2 linked regions of the Arabidopsis thaliana genome follow. The protein of the gene in region 1 purifies or fractionates together with the protein of each later gene. This does not show direct contact. Each region holds a gene or a part of one and is shown on either strand. Other genes may lie near its edges.

What was found. Proteins that work in one complex are often made in the same cells at the same time.
Region 2: the proteins of AT5G38890 (region 1) and GTB1 fractionate together in Arabidopsis thaliana (co-fractionation; one large-scale study listed by BioGRID). This does not show direct contact.

What each region holds. Positions count from the first base shown.
Region 1 is NC_003076.8:15,566,173-15,573,528, forward strand, and holds AT5G38890 (Nucleic acid-binding, OB-fold-like protein), read left to right. Parts: upstream 1-3,245; 5' UTR 3,246-3,334; coding exon 3,335-3,487; intron 3,488-3,623; coding exon 3,624-3,698; intron 3,699-3,795; coding exon 3,796-3,884; intron 3,885-3,968; coding exon 3,969-4,053; intron 4,054-4,283; coding exon 4,284-4,365; intron 4,366-4,634; coding exon 4,635-4,726; 3' UTR 4,727-4,997; downstream 4,998-7,356. Other genes in the region: AUG5 (HAUS augmin-like complex subunit), read right to left, coding at 164-334, 534-675, 991-1,530, 2,115-2,632; AT5G38895 (RING/U-box superfamily protein), read left to right, coding at 5,103-5,132, 5,283-5,464, 5,782-6,031, 6,112-6,514, 6,773-6,882, 7,111-7,143.
Region 2 is NC_003070.9:24,311,090-24,316,567, reverse strand, and holds the start of GTB1 (global transcription factor group B1), read left to right. Parts: upstream 1-1,928; 5' UTR 1,929-2,036; exon of another isoform or gene 2,037-2,109; intron 2,110-2,189; 5' UTR 2,190-2,240; coding exon 2,241-2,271; intron 2,272-2,395; coding exon 2,396-2,488; intron 2,489-2,699; coding exon of another isoform or gene 2,700-2,741; intron 2,742-3,003; coding exon 3,004-3,133; intron 3,134-3,371; coding exon 3,372-3,435; intron 3,436-3,539; coding exon 3,540-3,690; intron 3,691-3,768; coding exon 3,769-3,889; intron 3,890-3,972; coding exon 3,973-4,210; intron 4,211-4,308; coding exon 4,309-4,497; intron 4,498-4,571; coding exon 4,572-4,679; intron 4,680-4,771; coding exon 4,772-5,158; intron 5,159-5,231; coding exon 5,232-5,339; intron 5,340-5,445; coding exon 5,446-5,478. Other genes in the region: GLC (HXXXD-type acyl-transferase family protein), read right to left, coding at 232-693. UniProt on the Arabidopsis thaliana protein: Transcription elongation factor that enhances the transcription elongation by RNA polymerase II (RNAPII).

The DNA.
Region 1 (7,356 bases):
AAAATGAACTTTAATGATAACTGAGAATCAGTCATGCAGTGCCTGCTACATAACAAGTATAAGAGTGTTTGGATTGTAAGATTTGTACAGGAACATGATTTTGTCTTTTTAGATTCAAGTGAAGGGAAAAAAACTAAAGAAACCAAGGGAGTCTGGCATCTACCTCAAATTGCCTAAGATTGCTACCACTCTGTGTTGTGCCTCCAACAAACGAATGAGTAGCTGTATCAGCACTTCCATGCAAACGGTTAATAAACTTGTGGCATAAATCACGAGCTTCAGCTGCTTTGTTTAGTGCATCTTCAGTAGCCAAAAATTGTTGAACATGGGCTTTCTGGAAAAAGTAGCACAGGTGAAAGTTAAGATAAACAGACTTTAAACATATAGCCATACAGTGCAACATATACAAATACAGCACTAGAAGACCAAAACATATCTTTCTGAATTAAACATTTGCCTGAAGCTTAACCCTCCTTTCTCCATATCTTCAAATTAACAAGAAGAAACCAGCAAAACTAGACATAGAAAGCAACCTGCCGTTCAAGGAGCTGGTTGTTAGATCCTTGGAAATGAGTATCTGTGCCTATCTTCCCGTTTCCATTAAACTGATAACTCAAAGGGGAGCTCACATCAGAAGAAGAATTGTCTGTTACACGGTTGTTCTCAAACTTATACCTGCAAATAGATTGACATCCAATTGCTTATGTTAGTCCAAAGCAACCCTGGAACAAGAACTTAAGAAAGCAGAGACGAAAACTGAAAACTTATAAGAGACAGAGATACAATTATCATTGATCAGACATATCTTAAAGGGAGTCCAGGAACTTCAGCATAAGTACTAATTTGCTATATGAGTTTCATAATCTTCCACTTGTGTGTCAAGAAAATTAGCAAAAATAGCATGCAAGGTGCATTTGGGTGAACCATACCCTGCAGAATCAGGAGTGCACAATAACAAAGAGTGGCATAAGAAGGAAAGTCAGGACACACCTTAACATTTCAGCATCTGCTCTGACATCAATCTTCTCCATCTCTCTGGATATCAGAGTCTTAATGCGTAAAGTGTATGCAGCAATAGCCTGAAGCAGCAGAGGAGGACCCCTCAGGGAATTTACTATAACAGTTTTCATCTCATCAGTTATTTCTCCATCATACTCAAAACCCAGCTTGGCAGTTTCCAGCTCTGGAAGTGAACAAATTCCATTTCCTTCGTATGCAGGGAAGGAGTTACGTATTCTTTCAATCATGCGTGATGCAAGCAAATCACATACTATCCTGATATTTCGTTCTCGGGTTGTTTCCATGAGAATGACATCATCTGCAGACTTAGTTCCTTTGACAGTGGAATAAACAGCTTCCCTCTCACTGTTAGCACTGAGGCTGCTTAACACTTCATTCGATGAATTGACAGACCGTTGTGCATCATTTGCTTGATTAACATAGACTTGTAGCCTTTTGTGATACTCTGCAAATATTCTTGTTGCTTCATCACATTGTTGATCATACGCTTCCAACAATGCTTGCTTGTGTCTGAAAAAAGGAAAAATAAAACTCACTAAACAATTTGAAAGATCTACTGAACATAACTACAACAAATATTTTGATTTGTTGTATGAACAGAATCAATGCATTTCAACATAGATAAATGCTGTTGATTGAGGTTCATGAAGAGGGCAAAAAGACAATCAATATCGCCATACAAAAGTGAGAATCTTAAGAATGGGCGATGTGGCATATCCATGAAACCAGAGAAACAAAATAGCCTGACTAAATCCCATATATTCCATTCTAGGGTATATTAAAATCATTGGAGAATCAACAAAACGAAAGAAGAATACTTCAGGGCTATATATCTATGGCTCCTGAAATCATAGAGAAACGAAATCGAAATACCACCAAAACTCTAAGCAGCTAACCATACTACACATAGCAACCATACTTGTAATGGTTCTGTTGAGGACTTAACACTAACGATAATAAAGCATAACAACAACAAGAGAAAATATTAAATGAACCTGAGCTGAGTGGTGCAGGTTATTTCTATTGTATTATTTTACAAGTGAGAAGCAATGTATCCAAATACAGTATTCAAAATTGAAAGATTCAAAACAAACCTGTAATTTGCTCTTTCATCAAGCATCCTCTTCCGCTCTGCTTCTTCTCTAGAGACCTCCAACATTCTAGCTTTCAAATCTTTTCTTTGCCTCCTCACTATGTTCCTCAATCTCTCCACTTCCTTTGCAGCTAATTCCCTTTCCTGCAATGCAGCTTCTCTATCCTCCGCATAACTCGAACTCTCACCAGTCACTGTCTTATCCTTCCGCCTTCCTTTACTCTTACTCTCCTCCTTCCCAGGATTTACCGAACTCCCAATGCTAGCATTACTACTTCCCCCATGAACCGTAATATTCCGCCTAATTCTCTCCACTGTCTTCTCCGATTTCACTCGGTTTATCAAAAAATTCCATATAGGTATCATATTCCCTCTACAAATCTTCCTTATAGCATCAATAGAAGGAACATGAGATTTGCTCGATCCATTATACGGACCTAATTGCCTGTACCCCATTTCCTTCTGTAACCATTCTAATATCGCCTCCGGTGTCGGAGCCGAGCTCGATAAACTCTGCATTCTCTCTACAACTACAATACCTAACTCAATCCCTCAAATCTTCATGAAACTTCCGAAATTTCTACTCATACTTTGCGCCTTTTCTTCAAATCCAAACAATCAACGTAGAGAAATACCTAGGTTACTCAAATCGAGCGAAAACAGGAGTTCATAGACGCTATAAACCTAATACAATTCGCGAAATGCAGCAACAATCGAGCGAATTGGTACTCTGATGAACACAGAGACAGAAGGAAGACGTAGACAAACAGATCTGGAATCCCGACGACTAACTCGCCGGTTCCGGTGACGGTAGATGGAAGATTGTGACGGAGAGATGGATCTGGATAAAGAGATTTCAAATCGAGGTCCCGCTTGTTTATTGGATTTTCAATTAAAGGAATCAAACTCGAATTTTTCTGCAAGTGTCGTCGACTGTTGAAAGTTGAAACTGGGTAATAACCGCGTCGGACTCGGGTATGAGATGTATCCGGGTCGGACTAAGGTATTTAAGTCTAACCGGGTCGAATTGGGTAATAAGAAAACACTATGGGTCAAAATTAGAATAGTTTAAAATTACAACCAGAACATTTAGGGTCAAAGTTGAATTTATATAACACTAAAGGGATGGATTCCGAATTGTTTTAATTTTCTCAATCTAAAACCCAGAGGTTCCTTCCTAGGGTTTTGTTTGATACTCTCAAATCGGAAAATTTTGAAACAATGACGACGGGGCTAGTAACGCCGGGAGATGTAATCGGGAAAGCGACAGAGTTTAAAGCTGGAAAAGGAGCTTACGTCAACGACGCCACCATCTACGCTTCCCTCACAGGAACTTGCCGGATTGTTTCTCCTCTTCCCGAATCAATTGATCAGGTTTCGTCTTTGTTCCAAGTGATTAATTCTTCTGGCACATCTATTCGTAATCGAAATCGAAATCGTTGGATTGTTATACTTGTTTTTGTGATTGTTATGGATATATAACTTATTGGATGATAAAAATGGTAAGCAGAGAGCTATTGTGGAAGTTACAGGTCACAAGGCACATGGTCCTATTCCAGAGACTGGTTCTGTTGTCATAGCAAGAGTGAGTCCTGCACTTATTTCATTGGATTCATTGATGTTCATACTTGGAAAAAAAGAGAGTAATTTCATCACTCACTATTCTCTGTTATTCGTGATAGGTGACTAAAGTTATGACTAAGATGGCTGCTGTTGATATCTTGTGTGTTGGTTCAAAAGCCGTTCGTGAAAATTTTGCTGGTGTAATTAGGTGAATTTCTCATCCTCCTTTGGTGTTTATTTTCAAGGTTTGTTCTTTTATGTGTCGATCTAACTTGTGTTTGCTCTTTCATAGGCAACAAGATGTTAGAGCAACAGAGATTGACAAAGTTGACATGCATCAGTCTTTCCATGCTGGTGACATTGTTAGAGCTATGGTTGTATCCTTGCGCTTATGTTTCACACTTATTGTCTAGTAGTACAGTGGTTAACATTGTTTATTAGAGGAGAGACAATTCTAAGATTTGTTACATTATGCCATTTATTTTCTCTTTTTACTTACATATCTCTTTGTATAGTTTAATTTGAATGTAGCGTAGGTGTAGTCTATAATAATAGATGATGTTTTGGGTGATAATATCTGAAGTTGCCTTAACTTGGACTCTTAAAGCTGTCTCTTGGTGATGCACGGGCTTACTACTTGTCAACTGCTAAGAATGAACTTGGTGTGGTCTCAGCTGAAAGTGCTGCGGGTAATTTTTTTCCTACTCTTAGAAACTAAATAAAGGGTAATGAGGGCAAAGATTACTAATTATATAGCTAATCTATCACATATCAAATTGTAATACATTTCTAACTTGTAGTTCTCATTATGGAATTATGAGTAACAAATATTTTCGTCCTGGACTTGGAGTATGTTAATGTGTAGATGCATTTGCTTCTTTGGGCAGTTTATAATACTATACGAAGTTAATTTCCGTTTGAGTAATCGAAATGTTTATGTGGTCTGGTGATTGTGCAGGCGAAACAATGGTTCCGATAAGTTGGACAGAGATGCAGTGCCCCTTGTCGGGCCAAACCGAGCAGAGAAAAGTTGCCAAGGTGGGTAATTGAATTCAAGACAACACTTGGCTTCTCTCACATAATGAGGTGTGGTCTCTGCAGCAAGACAGACATTTGAGATTATTACAATTTTGAGCTCTTCTGTTGTTTGTTATCAAGTGTAGAGATAACTTTAGACCAACTTGACCTTTATTCGACAATAGTCAGGATACTATTATTATTAGGATACTTACAACTTCTTAAACTCGAAAGACATTTTGTTGTTAGAATTTGAACATAAATCCATAACTCCAACAATGTGGAAATGCTAGGCTTAGCTCGGAACAACTTAAAAATTCATTCGATTGTCGCAATTTCTTGGTGAGTTGGTAGTATAAAAACTTAGCAGAAAATCAAGAAACAAACTTCCTAAGAGATGTAAATCTGTATGCCCTTGGTGCTGCCGAGAAAAGAAATGGTTTTTGTATACAAAAATGTATGGGTCACAATTAGAATAAGTTTAAGCTTTATAATCGAAACGTTTGGGGTCATAACTAAATATATGTAAAATTAAAGGGACTATTTACGAAACTTTCTGTTTTTCCCTGGTTAAATTTCGACCAAAAAGGCTTATGGATCAAAAGGTAGAAGAAGACAAAGACGAGAGAGAAAGGATCGCTATTATTCAGGAAACTTCATTTTGCACTTTTTCGACGAACCTGAAAAATCTTCAATTTTAGAATTAGTCAATACCGGAAAATTCCTGGGTTTTCTCTTGCTTCTGGATTTTCTCAGGTCTCTATCACAAAGGTACTCATCGATTCCTCTGTTTTTTGTTTTCCTTTGAAAGTTTCTTTGATGATCATTGGATTTTGATACCATTCATTACTGATCATCTGATGTTGATCGATGAGCTTATGATGGTTTTTGGGTTTCATCGGATTGATGCTTTTTATCTGAAAGGTTGATGCTTTTGCTCGTACATTAAACAATGAATCCTTAAAAAAACTGTTTTTTTTTGCTCGAATTGTATAGTTTTGTGATGTGTATTAGCTTATTCAAGTTTAGTTATTCATTTGGTTTTAGAAATGTTATATGTTTCTCTTACAGGTGATTCTACTGTGTAGGAGGAACAAGAGTTTTGCACCAAGAAGAGAGAGGAAGGATTCTGGTTTACGGGAGCTAGTGAAAATCTTCTGTGAAATTGGCTTTCCTCTCTCATTCTCTGTGAAATTTGAAAGTATTGATTTCGAAGATATGGGTGCTTTCTGTTGTTGCTTTCAAGTTGATCTCTTTGAGAGTTATGTGAATCCAAACACTTCCATAACTAGGAACTGTCCTTGCCTTAATTGCTTCCTCCAGAGTTTCATGGATTTGGTAATGTTCTTCTTCACTTTCGTCTTCGAATCTTTTGTTTCTTTGTAGTTAAAACTTTATGTTCGATTTTTTTTGGGCAGTATGCTTCGTTGTTTAGTAGAGGGGGAATGCATCCAATACCTTCAACTGTAGAGACAGCTACAGTGATGAATTCAACAACTGCACTTGATGACTCTCTGTCTAGTGTATATCATTCTCCTCCAACACCATTGCCTTACGATGCTGATCCTAGGTACTTTCGTTTTGTTAAGGGCTCTAGTCATTCAGGTGAAGAATCAGAACCGTTAAGAGGTGATACTGAAATGAGTTCTGAAGCTTTGGGTGATGGTGGAGCCAAGTGGAGTAAGTCTGATTCTGAAGATGGTTCGAAAGAAGTGTATACGAAAGGTTCATCAACCTTTACAAAGTCGAAAACAATGCCGGGGATAGAAGTTTATTATGCAGATTCGGATGATGAAGATATTTGTCCAACCTGCCTTGATGGTAATACTAAAAAATTAGTTTGATGCTATTGTTATTATTCTCTTTGAACCTATTATATGCAGTTTTGTTGGTAAAGAGTGTGTTAGGTTGTTAGTAGATCTTTATAAGTTGCTTTCTTGGTTTCATTTCTTCATTTAGTGCACTCCTGAGTCCTGAGCCATTAGGCCATTAATAGTATAGTTTACGTAGATGAGGCAATCGTTGCGAGTGCATTAAGGTAATATTGGTTTCATAGTTCTTTGTTTTAACAATATGCAGATTACACTTTGGAGAATCCGAAGATAATCACCAAGTGTTCTCACCATTTCCACCTTAGCTGTATTTATGAATGGATGGAGAGAAGTGAAACTTGCCCCGTCTGTGGAAAGGTAACTCGTCGCTTTCTACAAAACTTTAAAACCCGGATTTGGTCGAATGTTCCATCAATCTCCTTCATCGATATTAAAAGTGCATCATTTTGTATTAGAATTTGATATCCCCATTTTAAGTAGTGGTCCATTTCTCATACAATTATTGGTCATATAGAGAACCATGAGATGAGTTAACTTTTTGGAGTTAATGCATCCATACCTAATTGTTTCACTCTAATCTTTCAGGTGATGGCATTTGATGAAAATGAAACTTCTTAGCATTGTAATAAAGACTTGCTCAAAGAACATAATGGCGTCTGAGTCCTGCTCAAAAGAATAAACAGAGAGAAATCACTTGTACATAAAACTCCTGTGAATATCCAGATGCCTTTTAACAGTAAATATGTGATGTCTCTTAATTTATAGACTCATATATCTTATATACATTTATAAAGCAAGACAATGATTGGAAGGAAAAGTAGTTTGAATCAT
Region 2 (5,478 bases), on another chromosome or scaffold:
AAAATAGCTAAAAGTTCACAAAATTTATTGTGAACATGTTCGAAATTTTTTTGATTCTAAGGAAGCTTCTTTGTGTTTATACACTCAAAACTTTTGATTTTTTTTTTCTTTCTTCCTGATTAAAAGACAAAACGCAAAGAGAACAAAAAAAAAACTTGTTATTTGTTAACTAGATTTAGGATCATTTTGGAACAAAAAAAATTAGAAAGCAAAGGTTTATTTATTGGTTACCTGAAAGACAAACAAGGGTTGATCATCTTTGGGCAAACTCTGAAGCTGACTTGTAACCAATTGAGCAAAAGCTGGATTTGGATAAACCAAATCTCCAAGTTCCTCCAACGTGTAGTCACTCGCCGCCGTCACAAAGCCAGCTCCAGCACCGTTACAGTCAACATCAAGCCGTCCAGAGCTAGGATCCACGCGGAGTCTCCCGGCCAAGAACTCATAAGCGTCCATGAGTTTCACCAACGCCTTTCTCAGCTTCTCCGAGACCATCTCCGGTGGAAACTCCTTGTTAGGTCGGAAGAAATGAACTGTTTGAACGTCAAAGTTGAGAATTTGGTCGACGTTGGATAAGAACATGGATTTTCTCTCGCTGGTTTCTTCAGATGGGAAAATGAGTGTTGATTCTTTGATCGTAACCTTAAGATCTTCAAGAAGCAACGGTGGAGATTCTTGGTACGAAGAACCCATTTTGCAACCCTTCTCTCTCTCTCTTTCTCTCTAAGTTAATTAGGTTTTGAGTGAAGTTTGTGATTTGGGTTTCAGACTTAATCTATATTATATAGACTAACACGTAGTAAAAGGCGTTTTTAATTTTATCTTGGCTTTATGATAATGTACGTGTACATTATAGTATGAAATAATCCATGGAGAGTAAATTATTGATCCCATAATAAATGTGACTTTTTAATAAAAAAAGATATGGTACGGATCGTTACAAGAACAAACAAAGCAGTTTCGTGCTACGTAGACGTCGTTTTTATCCAGTCACATGAAAACGTTATTCTTTAAAAGCTAAAATTGTCACTGTTGTATTATTGTGTTGTGTTTATAGATTTGGGAAGAATGATGGGCTGCATTGGTGGGTGTGAGTAGGGTTGGTGATTTATGTTTTTTAAAATTTGATAGGAGAACTTTGATATGTCGGTGTAGCTACATAATATGCATGTGATATATCAACCTTTTTGTTGTGATATTTGCCAAACTTTGACTTCTCCATTTGTGGTTTATGGAATAATACGATTTTTACCCATTTGCAGTATCTCATTACGGTTACAAACTTACAATCTACAATTAGTCTAGTTTCTAACCTTTTTCTTGCCATATTAAAAGGCATGAACTCAAAATATGGCCGAATCCAAGCCCGGCCCGTTCATAAAAAAGCCGAAACATTTGTTTTAGGCCACCTAATATAAAAAGTTTTTAGGGCCTCATGTGTAAAATTTGTCCTACAATATAATTTGTCTAGTGTTATATTTATTTTTATATATGTCCAAATGTTTATATTATTATCAACTTGTTATTTAATTTTAAATATATCAATTATAAGATTTAAAACTTTTTCACAGTTTAAAATTTTATATTTTTGATAAAATTAAATTGTTTAACTAAAAATTAAATTAATCTATAGACAAACTTTTAAATTTGAATCCGATTTAGATTTATTTTAATTTTATTTATCATATAAATTTAAATAATTGTTTAAACATTTTAGCCGATGTAACGTTTTTTTATTAATTATTAATGTATGTCTATTTTCTTATATTTCGAATTATCGAATTAAATATTCTCCACTCTAATTATAAGATAAGTTGAATAAACTTTGTTTTGTTTTTAGTCTCGACTTTTTTTTCTTTACATTTCTTCAAAAAGTATAATAATTTTTAAAAACATTATTAAAAAAAAAATATTTCTAAAACGCAGAGAAAAAATTGAGGCAAATCTGTCAGTATAAACTTGTAATTTCATCGTCTCCGTCTTCTTCTTCGTTTATCAGTTCTTCGTCGCCTTTCGCTTATGAAAAATTCACACTGGTAAAGCTTCTTCCTTTACCAAACCCATTTCTCTTCTCTAGCTCCTTCTGGGTTCTCTTTTCGAAGAACCCTAGTAATCGCGAGAACCTTCTTCCCCCTTTCTCTTCGCAAAATCAGAAATCATAATCACAATCTCTTCGTTTTTTTTTGCAGTTTGCAGGGCTAATTTCTGCGTTATCGTACTTCTAATTTGTTGAGATAAACATGGCGAGGAACGCAATCTCTGACGATGAAGGTACCTTAATCGCTTCGTCGCAAACCCTAATTTTTTTCTGTGTGAAACGCCGTAATAATACTAGGGTTTTGTTTATTTCTTCTGATTTGTATGAAAAAATTGAATCCTTTTCTCTTTTGCGTAGAGGATCATGAGCTTGAGGATGACGACGGAGAGCCAGTTCATGGAGATCCAGCTGAGCATGATGAAAACGATGATGAAGAAGATGATGATGACGGTATAAGTTTTTTCCTTGATTTTGACTTCTCCCAGTGAGAAATGTGTCGTCTTTCGTTTCTTTTTGCTTACCACCCTAAATCTGGAAGCTGTAGAGTCTGATTGCATCGAAGGAAATTAGTGGTATGGTTTGGTTTAGTACTGAAGCGCATGCAGTTCTTTGTCTTAAAATCGATTCATTTGGAGAAATTCTGCTGCATTTGCTCCATTAGAAGATGCAGTGTCTGGATTTGGCAACCAAAAAAAAAAAAAAAGTGAATGCATCTTGTTTCTTAGATGTTTACTTATCTGCTGCAAAGTCTCTCCTTCTACCACTTCTTGTTTCTATATTCTCTGTTTCATACGGTTGCTTGATTTGTTCCTTTTTAGACTTCATGGTTTCTGCAAGTTTTGAGCTGCACACATTTCTCTCACCTTGGGTTTGAGTATTTTTTTTTCTTTTTCTTTCTAGGCTTTTTAACTTAGATTCAGGCTATTTTTGTTCCATGATGTGGGATCCGTATATCTGTTTTGTAGTTGGGAATGAGTATGAGAATGATGGGTTCATAGTGAATGATGAAGACGAAGAGGAAGAAGAGGAAGAAGACGAAGAAAGGAAAGATAGCGATGAGGAGAGGCAGAAAAAGAAGAAGAAACGAAAGAAAAAGTGAATATTTTATATCCTTACTCATTCTCTTAGATTTTATCCTTTTCTAACATATGAAAAACTAAATGTTAGTGTTGACATGCATGATACTTTTGAAGAAATGTTCCCTTAATTCTCAGCAGTCTTTATTTGTGATTTTCATACATTGTTTGTGATGAGTATGTAAGTTACCATTAGACGAACTATAGCAGGTCTGTTCTCTTTCTGACTAACCTTCCATTTATGATAATTTTAATAGGGACGAAGGTCTTGATGAAGATGATTATTTGCTTCTACAAGATAACAACGTCAAATTCAAAAAGGTTAGTCATATTTGTGTATATAACAATACATCAGGATTTTGTAGATACACTAAAAATATATGTGCAGTACTAATACATTTGACTTTTTTCTTGAACCATGACAGAGGCAGTATAAGCGGTTGAAGAAAGCTCAAAGGGAACAGGGAAATGGCCAGGGAGAATCATCCGATGATGAGTTTGATAGTAGAGGTGGAACTAGGAGAAGTGCTGAGGATAAGATCAAAGACAGGCTGTTTGATGATGTTGATGTTGATGGTAGGTTCTCTGTGCCTTCTGATACTATTATGTTGACTGTTGGCACATAGTTGACTATGTACATTTTGTGTCTACTAGATCCACCTGATGATGTAGGTGATGAGGAAGACTTAGTTGTGGAAGAAGATGTAGTTGGGAGCGAGGATGAAATGGCAGATTTTATTGTAGATGAAGATGATGAGCATGGTCCTCCTAAGAGGTATTTTTTTTCTGTCTTTTTTGTGCCCTAACATATCACTTATGTCATGTACATTTTCTGATTCTAATCAACTTACTTTTCAGGGGCAACTCGAAGAAAAAGAAATATAGGCAGGGATCAGATATTACTGCTATGCGAGATGCTAATGAAATATTTGGTGATGTTGACGAATTATTAACAATTCGCAAAAAGGGTTTGGCATCTAATCAAAGGATGGAAAGAAGGCTCGAAGATGAGTTTGAACCAACTGTTCTTTCTGAGAAATATATGACAGGGAATGATGATGAAATCCGCCAGCTTGATATTCCTGAGAGAATGCAGGTGCATTATCTTCTTTAGTTTTCTCTATGTATACTTGTGGTCTATGTTTTCTTTGGTGTTCAAGGATAGATGTAAAGATATCTTGTAAACTTTGACAGATATCTGAAGAAAGCACCGGAAGCCCTCCTGTAGATGAAATTAGCATTGAAGAAGAAAGCAATTGGATATATGCTCAACTTGCTTCCCAACTTAGAGAATCTGATGGAACTTTTGATGGGCGGGGTTTCTCGGTTAATAAGGATGACATCGCAAAATTTTTGGAGCTACATCATGTGCAGAAATTAGAGGTTTTGGATTCATTCTCTCGTTGGATTTTCTTTGATTCATTGATTAGCTTGCTAATGTTTTCTGTCTCTTCTAGATACCGTTTATAGCTATGTACCGAAAGGAGCAATGCCGGAGCTTGTTGGACACTGGTGATTTTGATGGCGCCAATCAAGGCAAGAAACCTGAGACCAAGTGGCATAAGGTAAGCAATTATCTTGGATAAACAACAAGTGCTCAGGTTAACATTTATTGTCAGAGGAAATTTGGTGGATTCTATACTATTTTCCAATGCAGGTCTTCTGGATGATTCATGACTTGGATAAGAAGTGGCTCCTTCTTCGAAAAAGGAAAATGGCGTTGCATGGTTACTATACAAAACGTTACGAAGAAGAGTCTAGGAGGGTCTATGATGAAACAAGACTTAATCTAAATCAGTATCTTTTTGAATCAGTCATTAAGTCTCTTAAAGTTGCAGAAACAGAAAGAGAAGTTGATGATGTAGATTCCAAGTTCAACTTGCATTTTCCTCCCGGTGAAATTGGTGTTGATGAAGGGCAGTATAAGAGGCCGAAAAGGAAATCACAATATAGCATCTGCAGTAAAGCAGGGCTCTGGGAGGTTGCAAACAAATTTGGGTATAGTGCTGAGCAACTGGGACTTGCATTGTCCCTAGAAAAACTGGTCGGTATGCTTTTATATTGTTTGATTTGCATGTTGTACTGGAATGGCAGTTCTGACGCTAAATGAGTTGCAGGTTGATGAGCTTGAGGATGCAAAGGAAACACCAGAGGAGATGGCTAAAAACTTTGTGTGCGCAATGTTTGAAAATTCTCTGGCAGTTCTGAAAGGTGCACGGCATATGGTATATACTCTGCAATAATACTATTTTTTGAATTGCTTAGCTGGGTTTAATATCAGAAGGACTTCCCTAATCACTAATGCGGAGATATCCCATTTTTCCTTGTTAGGCTGCAGTTGAGATAAGTTGCGAGCCATCAGTC